2 linked regions of the Lepisosteus oculatus genome follow. The protein of the gene in region 1 interacts with the protein of each later gene in a pairwise test. Links are inferred from orthologs where the notes say so. Each region holds a gene or a part of one and is shown on either strand. Other genes may lie near its edges.

Region 1 (7,125 bases):
AGAGTAGCTTGTTTCACACTCCCACAACTCTTTGGGCAAAGAAGATTTACATGAACATCCAAGCAGTTTCCACCTGTGTCCTCTGCTTATATTTTGGAGAATTCTGCCAGGTAGACTTTGTTAGTGCTTCTGAAGATTTTGAACATGTGAATTAAATCACCCTGTAGTCTTCTCTGTTCAAGACTAAAAAAACAAACCTAAAAAGTTTCAGTTCCTTTTGGCTGTCAGGTTCGGACATTCCTTTAAGCACTGTATCCGGTAGCTCTTCTCTGGACTGACACCACTGATGCAGTATTTTTCTTTTAAGCATGTACTAATTGTACATAGTATTCTAAAATAGTTCTTTAAGGCTTTCTGTTCTGTCATCTATGTTTTTAGTAGAAAATTTGCAGTCATTCTTTTGTTTCTATAAATAATACAAAATTAAATCTGGACCTTATGCAAACACAGCATACATCCTTAATTTTTAACTGGTATTATATACTGCCACCACGAGAGGGCACATTTTCCCCCAAATCCTATTTTTGCATCTGATTGATTCGATGATACAGGTGAAAACACTGATGTAGGCAAATTAACACGTCACATATTACAGTCTATATATTAGCTTATTATTTCTAAATTTTGACACTGAGCTTTTATAGTACTTCTGTGTTATTTGTAACACATATGAAAATGATATATATGATCTATGTGTGGAAATGGAAATTCCTACAGAGATTTGAGTTTCTTCTTTCTGCTGCAGTTCATGCTTTTCTTGTCACTTAGCCCAAAGAAAATGACATGATCTGAAGCAAAGTCTGTGTGACCAAACTGTACTTCCCCTGAGACTCGCGTGCATGACCTCTCCGTGATAGATGTCCTGGGTCCCCTGGGCAGGAACACCATCTTTTTGAGGTGTGTCTGAGTAAACACAGGAAGCTGGAATCGGCACTTCCTGTTGCAGGAGCAAACGGCTTCGTTAACGGGACAAGATAGCTGATGTTTGGACGGAAGGGGCCAGTGTCAAAGGGAAACTGCCACCACTGACCGCTCACATTTGTAGAAAACAGTTTTTTAAGAAGTGAAACAATAAGAAATGTTCGATACTCCATTCCAGGTCTCACTACGCAGACAGTAATAGAAATAATTATGTTTTTTTCTGGTTTGTATTGCACTCTGTTAGTATTTTAGGTTTTTTCTTTCCTGTGTCAAATCAGACAAAAGCAGCCATCCCTGTTACTAGATTCTGACTCTACAGGGAAAAAGTTGGTGTCTGACAAGCAGCCATCGAACAAGACAACCGCTAGCTTAGGTGATGTGTGAGATCATAATATCTACACACACCATCTCAGTGCAGCCTCAGTGTGGTTGTCACCTGCCTTGAGACCTCTGGAACAACTTCGCAATGAGACAGAACATTGCATTTAATCATTTGGCTAATGGTAAATGTGTGTTACACTTACATTTATTCATTTGGAGGATGGGTTTATCCAAAGTAAATCAAAATCACATTCAAGGTGGATAGGGTGCATGTGACAGTAGAATTAACTATCTTCAGCTGTTAGGAGTCAATACTCAGGCTGGGGCAATATCATCAGTGGAGTTCCACAGAGATCCGTACTCAGACCACAGCTCTCCCTAATTTATATCAATGTCTAGATTCTGGTAGAATTTGTGAACTAGCGAAGTTTGCAGATGATGCCACAGTAAAAGGAACAGCAAACACTGTAGAAGCTTTAGATCTTTAAATTAGAAATGAGATATTTAGAGAGACTTCGAAACACCTGACATGACATTTCTTGCATGCGAGTGTAAAGTGCAAGTTCTGAATGCAGGGATCAAAAACCAGATGGGAAGCACTGAGCCTGAATAGGCCACTCATGAAAAAGACTTTGGTGTTTGTGTTGACACATCATTCACATCTTCTAGACAATGTAGGGCACCGATAAGAAATGCAAACAGTATTAGGATATATAGTTAAAAGATACATCCAGGATATCAGGGAGAACACTGTCTATATTCCCAGTATGGGGAAATGTTGGACAAATATGAGCTCCAGGGAGGGAATTATGGAGGCCTATGGGTCTGAGACAGGCCTCTGGACCCCTGCTCCTGGAGAGCCACTGGCCTGCAGGTTCTACAGACAGCCTTCAATAGCCCAGGGTCAGGGGCGGGGAAACATGTGACCTCCTAATAATCAAACAAGTGACCGGGTTCTGCAGCTCACTCTTCCCTCTTCACCTGCAGTGAGAAGCAGTTAGACTTCACACCAGCAGGGGGCAGAGTTAGACAGCAGGAGACACACAGCAGCCCCAAAGCAGGAGACACACAGCAGCCTCACAGTGGGAGACACAGCAGCCCCCCAGCGGGAAACACACAGCAGCCTCTCAGTGGGAGACATACAGTAGCCCCACAGTGGGAGACACTGTAGCCCCAAAGTGGGAGACACTCAGCAGCCCCACAGCGGGAGACACACAGAAGCCCCACAGGGGGAGACACCGCAGCCCCACAGTGGGAGACACACAGCATCTCCACATCGGGAGACACAGCAGCCCCACATTGGGAGACATACAGCAGCCCCACAGCGAGAGACACCGCAGCCCCACAGTGGGAGACACACAGCAGCTCCACATCAGGAGACACATCAGCCCCACATTGGGAGACATACAGCAGCCCCACAGTGGGAGACACAGCAGCCCCACATTGGGAGACACACAGCAACCCCACGGAAGGAGACACACAGCAACCTCACAGTGGGAAACACACAGCAGTCTCACAGTGGGAAACACACAGCAGTCTCACAGTGGGAGACACACAGCAACCTCACAGTGGGAAACACACAGCAGTCTCACAGTGGGAGACACACAGCAACCTCACAGTGGGAAACACACAGCAGTCTCACAGTGGGAGACACACAGCAACCTCACAGTGGGAAACACACAGCAGTCTCACAGTGGGAGACACACAGCAACCTCACCGTGGGAAACACACAGCAGTCTCACAGTGGGAGACACACAGCAGCCTCACAGCAGTAAACACATTGTAGTCCCACAGGGAGAGAGAGGAGAAACTGCCTCACCAGCTGAAACAGATTTTCTAATTTAGATTAAGAAGGTCAGCTTGAGAAAGCACCAAGTGGAATTTCCCTGAAGTCGAACAGCCCTACTCTTACAAAACTGCACCCTGGGATCTTTAACGACCAAGTTCGTCATGATCTGTGTTTAACATCTCTTCAAAGTCAGCGCCTCCTACAGCACAGTTCCCCTGTCACCATTGAGGGGTTCTAGTGCGGAAACCTGGGGCTAGAGGGAAGAGCACCACTTACTGGTCCAGCAAAACCACTTGCAGCACCTGGATTTCCATGCAGGTCTCCAGCCCCAGTACTGAACGGGCCCAGCCTGGCTGAGCTTAGGAGGACAGATGACATCAGGAGACAAAGTGCTGCTCCTGTCACTTAGCTACAGTGAATCCAGAGGGTACACCAGGTGTACACTTTACGCCAAGTGTGAACCACTGCATGCTAGTAACCTGAATGTGCACTATACATGTCAGAATCAAGGGGCCAATCTTGATGGCACAGGTTCAGCGTTACTGTTCCAAAGTCTACCTTTTACCATAGTACTCCACAACCAACTTTCACAGAGGGACAATATTTAGGTGTGAGGTTCTGCAGTTAGTTTGAATATTCTGTCTTGTTCTCTTGGACTGTGTTTTGAGTTTTGCTTGAACAGGTAGAGGTACTTTAATTTGGAACAGAGAGGACTTAGGAAAGAGAAAAAGGGGGCATTTAAGGTTTCCCTTAAAGAAGAATTCGCAGAGAATAAACCCCAACAAGAACTTTGTGCACCAAAGGAAAACAGAGAACAAATGAGCAGGAAAAGGAGTAGAAAGCTGTCCCTACACAAAGAGCTGTGGGCGTTTGGAACAGGAGCTCTAAACGCACTGTGGATGCCCTCAGGGGTCAGTTGCGCTGTGCTGTGAAAGTCCACGGGCAGAGTCTCTAGAGTCTAGACCATGATCCTCCCCCGACACGTCTCGAGACGGTGTTCCGGTTCAGGTGAGCGCGCGGCCAGTAGTAACCCGCTGCCCTTAGCAACGCCGCCTCATCGAGATTGAGTTCATCTGCCTCGGGTTGTATATATATTTTAAACGCACCCGAAGTTCATTTACCACGCTGTTCTTTGAAGAAATAAACCGGGACGCTTAAAGCCACGAACCGAGACGTTGCCTTTACTTACCTGGGTGAGTATTTTTTGTCCTTCCTCGGCTGTATACTTACCAGCCTGATATCTGATTGACGGACGACGCACGCTGATCGATATGCTGACGTCGGTCTGTATACAGGTTATCGATTGATGTATTTGGTGAAGATGCGTGTGTGACATCGATTTATTGATTGGACTGCCTTTTATAATGAAAATAAAACTTAATGAGACGACTTCATCGTTACTTAATGGTAGTCTTACGCATGGCCAGATTTGTTTTCCTCGTGTTTTCCTTGGCCAGTGTTTCGTCAAGTAGGCCAGCTCCTCATTTAAACAGGACTGTCACAGAACCCGACCCTGTGAATGGGGATTGCCCTGGTAATAAGACGTGTGCCCACATGACACCTCGATACTGTCGCCGGCCAAGGGCTGCACTTCGCGCCTGCGCCACAAGAGGGCGGGCTGCAGCCTGTGTGTCACTCCGAGCGAACACCGAAGTAATGCATGCAGTCCCGAGCTGTTCCTGGGATTGAATTACACTTTAATCGTGATTCTCCATTTTACGTGTTTCATTTAACGATAGCAATTATTTTCCAGGTGTTGTGGTGACCTTCCCTAACGTAATTTTACTTTTGGATACAAAAGTGCATTTGTGTGCACAAAAACAAGGGTCATGTTATATTCAGAACTAAATACAAGCACTGATACCCACTTATGTGTGTGTTAAATAATATTTAATGACAATTTCTTCATTTCGATCATTAAAATGATCTAAAATGAAGTTTAAAACGTATGAACAAGGTTACACACAAATAGTATAACCTGTCTGTGTGTGATTTAAATGTGAATTAAAAACGTTGAAGACTGGACTGCAGTGGAACATTTATTATGTGCAAGTTAAAAATTGCAAACCATATTCAGTTTTAGACTGCTGAACCCTTAAAGGGCTCCTGTTTAATGGACAAATCATTTTTAAATGACAAAAAAGGTTAATCTTTTCCAAGCTGCAGGTAGTTTGAGGAAGTTCCATCAAAGGTGTTTTGAATATCTCTAAAAGGCAAAGGCATCCAGTGATCAGACTGCAGAATAAAAATGGAAGCAAGGGCTTTTCACTTAATCCTGTGTTCAACCTGATGAGCTAGTGGAGAAGAACAAGGTCTCATTTGCAATGATGACCTGGAGTCCAGAGCCCTTCCCACCACTCCACACTACAGCCCCTGTAATGACATCTCTCTCTACTGGTACAGACATGGATAGACCTGTCATTACTGTACCACTAGCATTCACTAAAAAACAAGTTACTTCTCCTATTTAATGTTCAATAAGGCTGCAGTGATGAGCCGATACCCTCATTGTCAGTGTAAAATGTGCACGCCTTCTGTCTGTCACTAGCTCAGCAGAGACTCTGTGGGCGCAGGGGTACACTTGTACGGCGATTACTACTATGTATATACAGTCTACTGTATTACACTTAAAACAAAGAGATCATAATTATTGTCAAATTCCCAGAAATTGACAGTAAAATTAGAAAAAGGATTTGTGGAAATGCCCGTAGGATAAATCCATTGAACCTTATGGTTGGCACCTCCGTTTGAGAAGTTTCACAACCTTTTCTTCTCTGAGAGGGAGTGTTTTGTTCACAGGCGCAGGGCCGCCCCAAAACCAAATGTCCTGCCCACGTGAACTCCCGCATGGGCAGGTTGGCGCCGCGGGCATCTCTCTGAACCCTGCAGCCGCTGTGGACCGTGGGCAGGATCCAGAATCGCAGACCGTTCCCGTTCGGTCTCCCACGTGAAGTTTTTATCCGCTTAATCCCATAAAGGTTGAATTCAAGGGATGCCCACAGCTCACCAGCTGTAATATGCGGCACACGGCCTCCATTGAGGAAGTACAGGTGCTGTCTTCGTCTCTCTGGGCCGGCCCTCGGTGTGGGGGGGTGACCCCTGTGGGGAAGGATGGCTGTACAGTTTGGCAGTCAAGGGCTGGGCACTGACCCTTCGCACAGCCAGCAGACCGCAAGTGCGAGTGACTGCCAGCACACATGGGGCTTAAAACTGCTTGTTTTTCTGTTCAAACAATAGTGCCTTCCTCTCATTTTCATAATACGTTATCATTATTAGAACACATGGTTGCCATTACTGTGAAGTCATAGTGTACATTTGTGTACATTCAGGTATTTCACCTCTGATGTTAACTCAGACCCCTGGAACCTTTGCTTAACTTTAAGATGGGTTTTGTGTTGCCTGTTTAAAAGTATGGCTAAATTCATTTTGCTGTAATTGAATTGGGCATAACACAGGTTTTAGGAAAATCAAATAATAAAATAACAGACATCCTTTAAAAGTGGCTTATTTGGTTGCCGGATTTTCCTACTACCCACATCATTTTTATTTTAAAGAATCTAATATATTTATTTCAAATTTTCCATCAAAAGATCTCGTAGTACCATGCACGATATATGCATAAGCAGGAACTATGGTTGAAACTTTCCCTCAAATTCTTCAGGAAACAGCTGGATGAGATCCTTTGACAAATAAGCATCTTTCATTTGAACAAGCAATACAGGTTAAATGCCCTCCTCTTGTTTACAACTATTCTTATGCTGATGTTCCTATTTTCCAGTCATGGAGTGTACCTGAAAAAAGCAATTGCTTATGTCCATAGATGTGAATTATTCTGACAGGGAATGCTGATTAGACAGGGGATAAGTTCACCATGAGCTGGTTTGCTTTGTGTTTCTTTTGAATGAGCTTTCTAAGGAACTGTGTCAAGTGCTGCACAGAATCAGTGGAGAATGTTCACATGAACAATAGAATAAGCTTCAACAGTGCTGGCCTTGATATTTTGGTTGGTTGTATGCCTTTGTGATAGAGATGAATTGGAAATGAGGGCTATTCCAAATATTCAAAAAGACAAATTGAGATTTGTGGCACTTTCC
Region 2 (7,409 bases), on another chromosome or scaffold:
GGACGGGGAGATAAGCAGTCATCAAAAAGACACTATGTCATGCATCTTTAAGGCGATCCCCTATCACATTAAATTAATTTTAATACTTCTAAATTGCAACCTCCTCATAAGTATTTATGAAATGTCACCACAACACGTGATGACTTAAAAAAACCCACTGCTACAAATAAAAGTAATACACTTAAAATAGTTAACCTGCTAACGTCACGCAGCATTCTTAAGCACACTCAGCTGTCCATATAGGAGAATTTCCAGTACCTGGTGTATTCTGAGCCTACAACCCTGGCATATTCAGCTCCCACCCCCAGGAGATCACAGGCCGACACCAGGTCCTTCTCCAAGGTGTGCAATTGCTGTACAAAAGAAACCAACCTCTGCTTCAGCAATAAGCACTCGCTTATTTCACACAACATTCCCACAATGTCAAAAGCTTAGTCAATTTGGCATTCTCAAATTAACAACAAGCATCTATGTATAAGGGAAAGGCTGTATTTTGACACATAGGCTAGAAGAAATACGCTCAACAGAACTGAAAGGCTTTAAGATGACGACAATAATGTGTGCCCTTTAAAAATAAAGTTCGGACCATCACAAGTTCGACAGTAAAAGTAATATGGAAGGACAGAAAAAAGGCTTCAAATCTGTGCTCTTACCGCCAGCTGGAACAGCAGTCGGCAGTGCCAGTACGGCGTCTGCTGAGAGATCTGAATGGCCTTGCGGAGCAGGGGCTTCGCCGAGTCGACCGAGTTCTACACGTGGAGAGAGGGCAGGACAGGGAAGAAAGACAAACACGTTGCTCGCACATTTCACCGAGGAGATAAAAGGCTTTGAAGAAAGTGCAGATGCACTTTGAAAGGGCTGCCTATGTCACAAAAGGTACCAGTCTGGATAAGATGTTGATTTTAAGATGACTGAGGCGGCAGGTGCCTCACTGAGGCAGCGCTGATGCCCCAGGTTTCAATTCGAGACCTGGGGTGCTATGTGCATGAAGAGGGTATGCCCTCCCCGTGTCTGTGCGGGCCTCCTCCCACAGTCCAAAGACGTGCTGGTAGGTTATTTGGTTTCTGGGAAAACTGGCCCCGGAGGGAGTGTTTGTGTCTGTGTGTGCCCTGCAGTGGACCGGCGTCCTGTCCAGGGTGTACCCTGCCTTGCACCAGTTGCTTGCAAGGAAGGGCTTCGACTCCCCAGCGAGAATCGGATGAAGCAGTTAGAAAATGGATGGATTATGACAGAGAGCAGCAAAACACCCATCTCTTAAGGATGGGACAGGCACAGAACAGGAAAAACGGATGACCAAATAAGATGGGGCGATCCAGTCAGTTTGATCAAACTTATAAACAGATGCATCATTTTTACTTGACGGGATGTTTATAGAGACAACCGGGAGCCAAGACAATCCCCAAGGTTCTCTCACAACAAAACACAAAGCAAGAATTTAAGAGGCTTACCTGCTGGCAATAAAGTTCAGACAGCAGACTTGCAGCTTCAAACTTGACATCTTCAAACTGAGGGACCTAGGGGTTGCTTGGTGAAGGAAATTACTCTTCCATTACTGTCCTGACAATACTGAAGCGAAAGCAAGTTGTCTTTCGGCCAAATCAAAGTAAAACGTTTTCCAGCATAAGCCCGGTTACAAAAGAGAGGAGGCCATTCGACCCATCCAGCGAGTTGGGTCATGAGCTGCTCACTGATCCTTCGATCCCAACCAAATGTTTAATGAGAGAAGCCAGGGTATTGACTTCCAACGACATGACTGGGTAACCTTGTTCCAGACTCCTACAACCCTCTGCGTAAAGAAGCACCTGCTGTTCTTGGTATTACAAGAACTTCCACATGCTTTCCCACTTGTGATCCCTGGCTCCCAATTCAGTGCTCGCTGTGAAGTAACCTGCTGGGTTGACTCAGTCACTGACTTTGGGGATTTTGGAAACTTGCATCAGGTCTGCCTTGTAGCGATCTGACAGCTATCAGCAAATACTGTGCAATACTCGACCAGAAACAGGTAAATGCGATATTACATATTTAGGGTGAATAAGCAAAGTGTAGACTTCAGTTTCATTTTTTGCCGAAGTTCACGTAACATAGCGTAGTAAAGAAAAGTAACAATATGGTACCTTGACCCCTTGAACCGGTATGACAGTAACAAGCAACCAACGTAACTTATTCCTGAGCAGTGCCCATGTGAAAAAGGATACTTGTTGAGACACCATCCACTGCAGAGAAAAAAAAATATTAGTAACATAATAACTGTTAGATCGTGAACCATAGTCACAGGTTTATTTTGAAAATGAATTAAAAAAAAGTTTAAATCATCCATCAAAATGCAGCTCTTGTGGATCTTAAACATTTCCATCCGAAAAAGACCCCTGCAACAAGCACCGCCACTACTTATTTGTGGCGGTGAAAGACGCCTTATTGGGTAACTAATTTTGAAATGCTCAACTTCATAATCGAGTAACATTCAGCTGAAATAATATGGCAACACTTTCGTTGTAAAGAAAAGTCGCTCATTTTTTAATAGACGCAAATGTGTCGCATTCTAATTCAAGAACTACACTGAAGATTTTATTTGATTTAGGGGTCTTGTTACAGAACTCTTCCTCTCTCATAGTACACTTTACAGACGTGGCCTTCATTTCCCCGCCTCCCTCACGAATCCCCGGTCTTTCCTGCGCTACCCCTCACCGCTTGCTCCAGGTGGTTTCTGGCGAGATCGCTGTTCTTGGTGTGATGATACAGCACCGAGCCTAGCTGAAGGTGAGTGCGGGCTTCGACCCTTTGTGGCGGCTTGAACTGAAAGACAGCCTGAAGACAGTGGACACAGAGGCGTATCTTAGGAGGACTTGAGGTACGGAAGTGCTCCGCAAAGCCGAGCAGGGCGAGGTACCATGACTCCGGGGCCTCACCGCCAGACGCCATTTTACCGACAACAACAACAACCACCACAGCTACCGCTGTTCCAACACCGCGGGATTTGAGATCAGAACGAGAATACAACGGGACTTGGACCGAATGGTCCCCCGGGATATGTAGTTTAACACTACCGTCACCTTTTATTTCTGTTTTCCAATCCCGATTTGCAATTTTTTGTATTATTTTAACAGATGGATAATTTAAGAAAATATCAAGTTTATAAAAACCTATAATAAAATTTCTGATAAATGATCAATTTAGCAAAACAGATTTCAACATTATATAGCTTTTTAAGTTGAAAAACGTACGAAGCAAAATCAACCTGCCTTACTGTGATGAATGTATTCATTATCTATATTTATATATTATTTTACGATTGCCACTGAGAATGTTGTTTTGTTGATAGGAAAAGGGTGGACTAGGAACTAAAGTGCTGCGGAACTCAATAATTCCGACACAAGCAAAACACGGAACGACAACACAGCGTCCTGTTCATCGACCTATTCTTAAAATACATAGCCCCACATTTGGACGTAGGTCCTTTATCGTGATTCCTGCCTACGATACTTCCGTAGCGTTAGCGGTTTCTAGGTTTATTCATCCCAGTGACAGTTGTAGTTGATCTGGGCGGCAGTAAATGGTGTCTGGGTACTGTGTTTAAATGCAAAGCGATTGCTTTAAAAAGAGAAATATCTGGACCTACATAGAGGTATGTTTATATATATTTCATAGTGATTTGAACCGCAGGTATTTATTTAATTGCGCTTTGGTTTTTTTTTGGTGTTAAAAATAGAATAAGAGTGCATAAGTAATCCTTCTCATCTTTACGGCATTTAAGTCGTAGTGATTTGCACGGTGTTGCCTTAAGGCTCGAAGAAAGAATCGAGGCGTTTGTAAAAGGACGACAGCTTTTGCGTTAGCCTTAACTGTGCACTGTGTAACAATGCAGCCGCAACAGCATAATGGAAAAGGATGCGCTGTAAAGGAAAAAAAACCCGAAATGCACTCGTCTTGTTTATAGGGGCACGCCACATACATATTTTTATATAACATATACATTTAATGCTTCTTGCCAGTACAGCACAGTACGAGGTCTTAGGCATTCACAGCAATACCAGGGCTTTGTGAACGGCCTCGTAAAACAACACGGCACCGTAATCTTGCTGCATCTCCCCAGCTGGCTGTCTCTGCGTGCTGTGTTCAGCTCTCAGGTTTCCGGGAACCGGCCGGTTTTGTCGGGAGCGAAGATGGCGAGTCGTCGGATCGCGCAGGAGACTTTCGACGCGGTGGTGAAGGAGAACATGGAGGAGTTCGAGATGGACGCCGCCGAGGCGCTGATCGAGGCGGTGCAACAGTTCGAGTCTCAGGGTACGAGGAGATAAGTTACCCCCGCTGATGGCCCTTTAACGCAATGGCTCCCCATCCTGCCGGGTTTTGAGCTCTCCGTGAAATAATCGGACCCTTAACTGACACCTGATAATCAATTAAATTTGAAGTCTGACTGTTTCCAGAGTCCTCCTAAGCTTGTAGGACCTTGCCCTTTAACTTAACGTTTCGGCTGTAGAGCCGAAGAAGGCTCCACAGCCAAAACGTTGTGTTTCCTTTCTTTTCTGGATGGAATAAACCTTTACTTGTTCCTTGCAACCTACGCATGCTGACGCAGCTCCCCTACTTGAACAACTTCAGCCCTTTCATTTACATGACTTCCTAAGCTAACTTCACATCTCCAAACTTTGAGTTGGGGAAAAATCTGGGTTCAATAAAGGATACACTGAAGCAAACAGTTTAGCTGGGATAAAAGCTAGCAGGTGTGGGGATCCCATGGCTGAACCCCAGGAACTGTTGTATCAGGGGAGCCCAACTCTGGTTCTGAAGACACCCCAAACCATCCAGTCAGTCTGATTGGTCACCCTTAAATGGCCAGTTTATAAAGATTCAGAAAAACATGCCTTTTGTACAAATGAGTAAATTGATTGGTATAATTATGTTGGGGAAATGGCCGGCTGTTGTCCTTGAGAGCCGCAGTGTCTTTATGTACGTTTTCATTTTGGATTGTTTCTAAGTTACTCCATTTTAACAAGTCAATTTATTAAAATGGTGAAACTGTAATTCACTCCTGCTGGAATTCTGTGGACTGTTTTAAATCTGGTTCCGAATTGTCTCAGTCAGGACTAAAACTGATAATAGATGACAAATTATAATTGAATTCCCTGTCTGACAGTTTACAACTGTCTTTAAACAGTACCAAAAACATCACTAAACATCCTTTTGTTGAAAACATGCACTTTCTTTACTCTTGTTATTGATTAATGTGCACAGAATGAGAAATGCAAGCACCAGCAGACTTTGCTTTTACGAGTTTGCATTAACAAAGGCACTGTGTAAATGGAAAGGCACAGAGAAAATGAGCCTGTTAGAAAAATTAACAAGTCACTGCTGTTCATTAAGTATGAACATTTTGGAACAGTTAGCACATGCTCTCCAAGATGCAGCAGTTAAAGCAAAAAAAAAAAATGGTCTCGCTCTCCTTAAATGACTTCTTGTTTCTGACTGATTCAACCACAACATCAGACATGAGGTGTGCCACTGTCTGGGGCTGGGCTGACAAAATCACGTGCAATTCTGTCAGGAGCTCGCGTGTAGAAACTGGCGATTTAAGGGTAATCTATGAAGGGACAAGTAAAGGTTATTTTAACACTGAGAAAGAAAAAAAAACAATATTTTGGCTGTTGACACTATGCAAGAGTGAAAGGGAAGAGCTGATAGGAAATGAGGCTCTTGCATGTGTTCATTTCCAGGTGTGGACCTCAGTAATATTGTGAAGGCTGTCCGGACGACTGCTTCAGAGGACACCGAAGAGGAGCAGACACACAGTGTTCTGCAGGTGATGACAATAAAGCCAGACCATTGAGTGAGGCTGTGTAAGTCTCTTTACAAGGGGTGGCCAATGTGTACTATGGTAAAAGCAGAGTGAAGTGTGATGTAACGTGGTGAAATTGTGTCCAAAACTGTGTTACAGCATTACTGGGTCTAGCAATGCACAGTACAAGCTGTAAGATGGCATGTGAAAGTAGAAACAAAAAAGTGCTGAAAGCATGGTACAACTGTAAAATTGTGGTGCAGAGCCAGCGCCGTGATCTTATCCATAATGTCCAGCAAGATAGTCGTGTTTTGTAATATATACTCGTATCCAAAAATGTTACGTTGACTTCCGAACCCACAGCAAATAAAACACCCTTTGAAAATGCAGACTTTCATAAATAAATCAGGCACAAGTATATCTGAATTTATAAGTAAATGTTTAAGCAACATTTCACAGAAGCTCTCGGCAGCCCTTGGGATGGAGGCAGTGACCCAGGGGTTTCCGGTGCAGTCTGCCTTGTGCCGCTGAGCGATTTCTTTCTAGCTGATCCGGTTTCCTTTTTTGTCATGTGTTTTGGGACACAGATGAGGTCAAGGTTATTGGCTAAGGGGTACAATAATAATAAGATAAAAATAATATAGCTCCTTTCATTCCTCAAAGTGCTTTGCAGAGGGAGCATAAAATAACCTAATGCAAATTATGAGAGGTCACATAAAAGATAATGACAATGATAACAGGAAATGCACAAATAAAGGGTAATAACAAGGAATTAAAGTAAAAATTGTAATGATGCAAAATAAAAAAGGTAAGATGTGTTTAAAAGGAATAACATGTCAATATAAAGAGACAATGTAAAATTGTTTTCCACACTTCTGTGTTCCTAGGCTTTAGAGTCTCTGCAGACCTCCCTGAAGTCCTCCTCTACAGACAGCTTGTGTGAGGGTCTGCAGCGCTTCACAGAGCAGTGCAAGATGGACTTTTCTCACCGCTACTTGGCTGCCCAGAAGGATGCCTATCCCATAATCCTCTCCTACTGCAAGAAGGCAGGCGGAGAGAGGAGACCTCTGCTGGCAGCCCTAGGGGCCCTGGCAGCCCTGACAGATGGACAGCCAGACCTGCTGGACACAGATGGGCGAGACTTTCTGATGGGCGTCTATAACGAGCACCAGGACGACCCTGGCGTGACCTGCCTGGCCGTCCGAGTCGTGCGCCACTGCTGCTTGAAGCACGAGCAGAACCGACAGGACCTGGTGAAGGCCGGCGTGCTGGCGCTGCTGACGGGCACCATCTCACGGTACAACTCCCAGCCAGAGTTAGTCAGGGAGGCCTGTGCCACGCTTAGGGTCATGACCTTCGATGATGATGTAAGAGTCCCTTTTGGCCACGCCCATGACCATGCCAAGATGATTGTGCTGGAGCATAGTGGGTTAAAGGTCATCATCAAGGCAGCAGAAGGTAAGATGACGCAGAGCTGAAGTTATCAATTCAACTACATTTAATTAAAATATAATTAAGTCTGTGGGAATCTGACATCAAGCATTTTCCCTCTTTGTTGTGAAACCCGGCGGTTACTACGTGTAAGACCAAGTATAGTTGGGGTTAAAGGTCATACCCAGTCAGCCATAGAAACAGT

The links.
Region 2: the proteins of nipbla (region 1) and mau2 interact in binary tests that used the Homo sapiens proteins (3 or more experiments, as listed by UniProt). The link is inferred for Lepisosteus oculatus from reciprocal best matches to the Homo sapiens genes NIPBL and MAU2.

What each region holds. Positions count from the first base shown.
Region 1 is NC_090698.1:15,499,660-15,506,784, forward strand, and holds the start of nipbla (nipped-B-like protein A), read left to right. Parts: upstream 1-4,106; 5' UTR 4,107-4,224; intron 4,225-7,125. UniProt on the Homo sapiens protein: Plays an important role in the loading of the cohesin complex on to DNA. Forms a heterodimeric complex (also known as cohesin loading complex) with MAU2/SCC4 which mediates the loading of the cohesin complex onto chromatin.
Region 2 is NC_090724.1:7,119,054-7,126,462, reverse strand, and holds the start of mau2 (MAU2 chromatid cohesion factor homolog), read right to left. Parts: upstream 3,033-7,409; 5' UTR 2,920-3,032; coding exon 2,686-2,919; intron 2,214-2,685; coding exon 2,196-2,213; intron 1,515-2,195; coding exon 1,449-1,514; intron 750-1,448; coding exon 654-749; intron 354-653; coding exon 259-353; intron 1-258. Other genes in the region: armc6 (armadillo repeat-containing protein 6), read left to right, coding at 4,161-4,281, 5,712-5,797, 6,661-7,231. UniProt on the Homo sapiens protein: Plays an important role in the loading of the cohesin complex on to DNA. Forms a heterodimeric complex (also known as cohesin loading complex) with NIPBL/SCC2 which mediates the loading of the cohesin complex onto chromatin.